Linked DNA regions of Daphnia pulex. The protein of the gene in region 1 interacts with the protein of each later gene in a pairwise test. Links are inferred from orthologs where the notes say so. Each region holds a gene or a part of one and is shown in the gene's direction. Other genes may lie near its edges.

The links. The genes of interacting proteins can lie anywhere in the genome.
Region 2: the proteins of MICOS complex subunit MIC60-like (region 1) and prefoldin subunit 1-like interact in a two-hybrid assay, tested with the Homo sapiens proteins (2 studies listed by BioGRID and IntAct). The link is inferred for Daphnia pulex from reciprocal best matches to the Homo sapiens genes IMMT and PFDN1.

The regions. Positions count from the first base shown.
Region 1 is NC_060018.1:5,994,592-5,998,989, forward strand, and holds the start of MICOS complex subunit MIC60-like, read left to right. Parts: upstream 1-1,460; 5' UTR 1,461-1,588; coding exon 1,589-1,692; intron 1,693-1,756; coding exon 1,757-1,948; intron 1,949-2,008; coding exon 2,009-2,070; intron 2,071-2,128; coding exon 2,129-2,289; intron 2,290-2,349; coding exon 2,350-2,412; intron 2,413-2,485; coding exon 2,486-2,627; intron 2,628-2,686; coding exon 2,687-2,945; intron 2,946-3,003; coding exon 3,004-3,103; intron 3,104-3,166; coding exon 3,167-3,310; intron 3,311-3,387; coding exon 3,388-3,519; intron 3,520-3,588; coding exon 3,589-4,062; intron 4,063-4,129; coding exon 4,130-4,225; intron 4,226-4,296; coding exon 4,297-4,394; intron 4,395-4,398. Other genes in the region: peptidyl-prolyl cis-trans isomerase NIMA-interacting 4-like, read left to right, coding at 295-322, 462-544, 605-724, 799-957. UniProt on the Homo sapiens protein: Component of the MICOS complex, a large protein complex of the mitochondrial inner membrane that plays crucial roles in the maintenance of crista junctions, inner membrane architecture, and formation of contact sites to the outer membrane.
Region 2 is NC_060021.1:7,365,868-7,368,471, forward strand, and holds prefoldin subunit 1-like, read left to right. Parts: upstream 1-1,359; 5' UTR 1,360-1,471; coding exon 1,472-1,510; intron 1,511-1,577; coding exon 1,578-1,829; intron 1,830-1,900; coding exon 1,901-2,002; 3' UTR 2,003-2,104; downstream 2,105-2,604. Other genes in the region: methionine aminopeptidase 1-like, read right to left, coding at 1-91, 171-302, 371-593, 647-822, 879-1,089. UniProt on the Homo sapiens protein: Binds specifically to cytosolic chaperonin (c-CPN) and transfers target proteins to it. Binds to nascent polypeptide chain and promotes folding in an environment in which there are many competing pathways for nonnative proteins.

The DNA.
Region 1 (4,398 bases):
AGAAAGTTAAATATAGTAGAATTTTTTTAATTTATTGGATTTGATGGTTTTATAGCATCAACCCTTTATTTACTGTGTATCAATTTTTTAACTTACCGAGATTCCGTGACTCTGAACAGTAATTACAAATATGACCACTACGCAATATTTGCACTAGTCGACACAGAGCAGACGACACAAAAATTGAAAACGCAGAAAAGCGCGTTTGTAATTGTTCTAAAATCTTGACTCTTGACTTTTGATTTTTTTTTTTCATAAAAAGATTAGAATTTTGAATTGGGAATTATAATAGCTATGCCACCTAAAAAAGCAGCAGCTGCTGGTACATATAGTTTGATTAGTTTCCTTGTGAAATAGTTGTGTTTTTTAAATATTTGTTTACACCTAAAAGGATATGTCAGAATTCAGAAGTTTCTACTACTGTGAAAATAAGCGTTTATAAAGTTTCATTGACTATTTAGGAAAGTCGAAAGGTGCTGGAGGAGGAGGAGGAGATGATGACAAGGGTAAAGACAAAAAAGGAGGAACTGGGAGTACGATTAAGGTAAAATAAGATATATTTCAATAAAATAAGATTATGTTTTTAAATATTATTCTTGCATAGGTTAGACACATTTTGTGTGAAAAGCAATCAAAAATTCTAGAAGCACTTGAAAAGCTTAAAGCTGGTATGAAATTCAATGAAGTTGCTGCAACATACAGTGAGGATAAAGCAAGATCAGGAGTAAGTGTTAATCAATGTGTTAATCAAGTATTATGCTAATTGCTTATTACATTTTTTATTGTATATTAAAATAGGGGGACCTTGGATGGATGGTTAGAGGATCTATGGTTGGCCCTTTTCAAGAAGCTGCCTTTGCTCTACCAATTTCATCATTGGGTAATCCTGTCTACACAGATCCACCTGTTAAAACTAAATTTGGGTACCACATTATAATGGTAGAAGGGAAAAAATAAAAAAAATAAAAACAACATATTGTTACATGAATTAAAATTGCATTTTTCATGGTTTCTTCTAAATTCACTTTTACTATAAGTCAAAAAGCTAATTGAATTTCTTTTATGAATTAAACATTCATAAACATCCAAGATTATCCAAATTGGATCATCCAATGCAGGGTTAAATGTGATAGGCCTACATATCAGATGTAGATCATTCTGACTGGCATCTATATTGATTATACAAATTGTGAACAAATTTAAATAACAAATATGTTGAAATCTTTGGAAAATAGCAAAATATTCTTTCGAATTACATGAACAACATATGCTGGTGGTTGATTTTGCTCTAAATCTAAAATCTTTCACTTTCAAGTTATACAATAAACAAATTAGGAATTTATTTTCTAATGTTAGCCGAGCTCTGGATTAAAAGGAATGAGTTAATTTTCGAAACATTTTCCAAGAAAATTTGGGATTTGGCACAAAATGTGTTCACGTTATCTGATGGATGCTGTTTAACAAGAACTACTACTTGAGTCATATTTGTCGTCTGTTGTCCCTTAATTACTCCGAGACTACAACAGTGGCAGGAATATTTTCTTCCATCATTTGAAGATCCAAGGAAAAGTTAGATCATTTTTCAGGAATGTGGAAGGCACCAGTTAGAATTTGTTCTCAGTCGAAGGTATCATTGCAAAACGGAAGACAAATTATCCGCCGGAACATAAACAGCCGAAAATCAAATCAAATGTAACCGGTGTATTTTTTTCGTAAGTTGTTTTTATACCAGATGCTGTAATAATTTCATTTGTAGATCTGGAAGCAAAATTTTAACCATTGGTGGAGCTGCTATTCTAGCAACTGTTGGTGGTTCTGTTGTCTTAGCCAAAACAAGTGATGGTTTTAGGAAATTTTCTGAAAAAAATATTCCTGGAACCTCATTTCTGTTCAATTTACTACTGGGACCTTCAGTTTCCCATTTACCAAAACTTGAGCATCCTGTCAAGTATAATCAGTTTTGTTTCTAGACTTTTATTGATTATTTATTTAAACTTATTTGCTTCAGAGTAAAGGAAGATGGACTTTTAAAGAAAAAATTGGAACGAGAAGCACTCAAGAAAAAAGATGGTAGATAAACATTTGAATTATTTTCTTGTACATTTGGAGCAATTTTTTTCTCTCCTAGATGAGCTGCCCATCAATCCTGTGGAAGAATCAAGCCCACAAGAGCTACCCATATCCTCAATCGATTTACCACCCCCAGACTTCGATGTCATAAAATCTGTGGAAGAATTTTGTGACAATGATCAATCAAGTGTTGAAGAATCTTTAAATTTAGACCCAGAAGTAAACTGTTTTTTATTTTATTTGCTTATACCTTATGTTTGACTTCCAAATTGCATTCAGGTAAAAACAGATGAAAATATTAAAGTAGTAAATGAATCTGAACCTGATAGTTCAGCTGTAGAGGTGAGAAACTTTCAGATTTGTACATCAAAACTTCAAAAAACAAAAATCTTTAGTTATTTTTCCTATAATTTAGGTTCTCGAAAAAGTTGCAGTTAATTTATCAGAATTAACTCCCGCCGAATTTGGGGACTTGCTTAAGGAATTTCATGCCAAAGCTTCTGACGCTGTTAAAGAAGCTGTTGCAGCCCAAGATATGGCTGCATGCTCCATCAAAAGTAACCGTCTCCTAAATAATCAGACTAACAATTATTTTATATTATTTTATCTTTTGTAGAGCATGTTGAATTGGTCTTCAAGTCACTAGAAAAGATTTACGAGCCTGGTCAAACACATGAAAATATTTGGGAGCCGGTCTTCATGGCGACACACGATAAAAATGAAGCTGTGCATGTTGCCGAGTCTCGAGCTCATGATGCCAGAATGGCCGTAGCTCAGCTGAAAGAAGCTGTAGCTCATGGCTTAAAGAATGACCAAAGTATACAAACACCTGACCTAATTACTTTTGACGAAAGCGTTGCCCGTGCTCTCTATAGGTACGTATTTGTGAATGTTGCTTCAAAACCTCCAGTGGCTATAATGTTTGGTATTTAGTTTGGAAACTGCAAAAGCACGAGTTGAAGCGGCTCAGTCTGAAGCCAAAGTTATGGATGAATATCGTGAACTTGTTGATACTGCTAGGCACAACTTGCAGGTAACAAATTGAATATTTATCAAAAATTTATAACTTCAACGTCTTTGGTTTGCATTATTCAAGATGGAGTTATCTTCCATTCGTCCTGAATTGGCACCCAGTTTTAAAACCGAAGGTTCCAAGTTGGGTGAAGAGGAAATCAATATTTTGATGGCCCATGCCTATTGGAAGATAATAACGTTGCAAAAAGAACTAGCCAGGCAACAGGTTAGTTTAAATGTTTTTTTTTTTTTGTTTTTTGTTTTTTTACAAAAATTTACAGCAATTAAAATTTGTATATCTAGTCTTGTGAGCAGCAGCGCCTGAAAGGAGCTTTAGATACCCAGAGAAAAGAAGACCATTCGGTTCTGGAATCCCGTTTACGAGTCGAATTGGAAAGACAATACTACGAACTAAAAGCGAAATATAATCAAGATGTGAGTTATACCGCCCATTATTGTTTAAACAAATCATTCCATTAATGTGTGTGTCGATTTCTTTAACAGATTTCGTTTCATGAAAAAACCTTGTCGGATCAGTTTACTCAGCAGCTTAAACTCCAAGCTGCTGCTTATACTGATCACTTAAATGACACTCTAAAGACGCAACGTCTAGAACTAAAGCGAACATTTGATGCTGAACGTGAACTAGAAGTCGCAAAGTTGTTGGCGTCCCATCATGAAAACCTGGCGAAGCTTCACGGAATGGGCAAAGGAATTCAAGACGCGATCCATGACCGCGCCGAAAAGGACCGAGTTTCTCGTCAAGTTCGTGAGCTATGGATTGCAGCTCAATCGATGATCGAGTCCCTGCGCAGTAACAATTCAGTCCATTTGCCATGGAATGAGCAACGCCACCCTCTCAATCTGAGTAGTTTGAACAAAGCACTAAACAACAATGATGAATTTGCTCTGGCAGTCATCGAATCCATCCCACCAACCGCTCTAGATCAAGGAATCCTTCCCCAAGGTGCTCTGAAGGTAACGCCCTGAAATATTTTCTTGTTGAAGTATTTTTTACGTTTAAATTTTACTCTTTTTTTTTCAGGAACGTTTCTTGAATGTTGAAAGAGTTTGTCGACGTGTAGCTCTGATTGATGAGAATGGTGGATCGATCCTTCGTTATGCGCTCTCTTATTTGCAGGTTGATTTTTGTTTTTTTGTTTTTTCCTTTCATACAACAACTGTAATTGTGTTAATATTCAATTCTTTTAGAGCATGATGGTCGTCAAAGTTGACGCGCGTCCGCAGTCAAAAGACGAAGAAATCAACTTGGCCGATTTGAATACGTTCGACATTTTAGCGAGGACAAGGTGA
Region 2 (2,604 bases), on another chromosome or scaffold:
CCGCAATAACTCCTAACAACTGAAAATCCATGGCTTTGGGCGTGTTTTTGAATAACAGCCCCAACATCGCGATACTTAACACCTGGCTTCACTATAGAGAATGAGGGAAAAAAATGACGCATGAAGAGTTTATCGGTAAACAAATAACTGAAAGCGCGAAGCTTACAAACCTATTTCGATCGCTTTTTCTAGACATTCCCATGTGACTTGCACTAGCCTCTTGGCAGACTCGCTAACCTGACCAACGAATAAGGTTTCATTCAGGTCACCATGAAATCCTCGGTGGTAAGCCGTTACATCAACTAATGAATAAAATCTTTTTAATAAACAAGGATAACACAAACATTTTTAACAAATGAATTATTATTACTGTTGCATATATCCCCATTTTGCATGGGTCTCTTATCAGGGATACCATGGCAGATAACCTCATTGATAGAAGTGCAACAGGATTTTGGGAATTCATAATAATTTAATGGTGATGGATAGCACTCCCGCTCAATGCAGGCTTCATGGACAATCCTATCAATCTCATCTGTTGTGACCCCTACGGCCACAGCATTTGCTGCTTCTTCCAAGATTTCTCTACCAAGCTGTAAATAATATTAGTCAATTGCAAATTTCATAATGGGCAACAATTGATTACCTTGCTGACAACTCTCATTCCTTCTTTCTCTTCATCACTTAAAGCCTTAATATAGGAACTTCCTCTAGCAGACTGTTCTCCAAGTGGATGTCCTTCAGGATGATCAGCATAATCTGGTCTAGCAATGTGTGTAGGGATGGTGCGTTTGGGGGTCTGAGGATATGGACGTAAAGTACCTAAAAAAAAAACTATAGATAGAGATAATATCCCAACACAAAATAATTTCACATACCGGTAAACGGGAAACCAGGCCAAGGATTGTACGCGACGGGCTCTGTCACTGTTTCTTTCTTGTGGACACTCTTATGCACATTCCAGTTTTTTTTGAAACATTCTTGTGTACAAAAGAACGATCCTTTAATGCCCAGTTTAATGCAAGTCGGGCATTGTAACCGGGCTTCTTGGTCACAACCTGGGGTTTCACAAAGAGCTCCTGCAGACATTATTTTCAAACACTTCGCACTTCAATCTTCAAGGCGATTGTTCGTCAATTCGTGTTCGATTCAGGATAGTCGTCTGCAAAGTTATCAGCACTAAACAACCAAACTATGACGTCATTTCACTTCCCCTTGGTGGCTTACAAAATTTTCGATCGTTTATAATGATTATCAAAATAAACATTAATCAGTTCAAAAATTAAAACAATTAAAACTTAATTTAAATAAAATTTTAGACATTAATACTTTCATAGCGATTTTTATAAAATGTGTGGACTCTGTTTAGTTTAGTCATGCTCTCCTCCCAAATTCCAAAATTGTCTTCTGCTGGTGTCACTTTTATAGTCCTGCCGGTTGTAATTCATTGACCCGTAATAATATTTAAAAAATGGCAAAACAAGGACAGATGGATCTTGAACTCAAAAAGGTTATTATTTTTAGTATTTTTGTCTTATTTTGACATCACATATTCATTCCATTATGACTGTTTTCAGGCATTTGCTGAACTACAGCAAAAAATGGTCGAGACGTCTCAAAAGCTCAAATTAGCTGATCTACAGATCGAGACGCTCAAAAGAAGTATGACACATGCACAACTAACTGACAAAGAAATAAGTCAACTTCCAACTGATACCAAAACGTATGAAAGTGTGGGTCGTATGTTTGTATTAAAAGAAGTAACTGTAGCACGAACGAACCTTGAGAACAAAATCAAAGGCTGTGAGGAGAAAGTGAAAACACTTGAGGTTAGATTTACATTAAATTTAATTGTGCATTTTTGTTTACATTTTTTTCTAATTTCTGTTCAATTAAAAAGGGAACTAAAGCATACTTGGAGCGCAGCTTGAAAGAAAGTGAGAACAACATTAGAGAAATGATCCAACAAAGAAAAGATGCTAACACTGGGGATCAACATTGAAGATTAAATGTTTTTTTGCCTACTTGGATACTTGTCTATGCTTTTTTTGTTCGTTTCCATCGATTTTTATGGGGAAACCAAAATAAACTGCTTAAAATACTACGTGGTTAGATTTTTACATAATAGATGGCCAAGGCAAAAGTCGTCTGCTGACCTTGGAGAAAAACTTCAATAACACAGAAAGAGCTGAAGTGAGAGTAAAAACAGTGATCAACAACAAGTTGGGTTTAAGAGACCTTTCGTTTTCAATTTTTGGCCTTGAATAAATCTTATTTTCTAAGGATGCTGACTGGCATCAAAAGGTAGGAATGAAATGAAATTAATTTTAAAAGATGTTATAAAGCAAACATGACGTCGATGTTCGATGACTCCATCGACTTCATTGTAAAAAAAATTGTTTTATTTTCTTGTTGTGTGTGTGCACAATTTGAACAGTTTGAACATGATAGGAATTTTATTTACACCTGTGATCTATTAGTCTTCACAACTTTGTAGTAAATTTAATAGTTTTGGTCTAAATTGCTGTTTATAGTTTAGACATATCAGACTTCATTGGATCTTCTTAGTTAATTTCAGGGGTGAACTAGTGAAAGAAGAGCTGT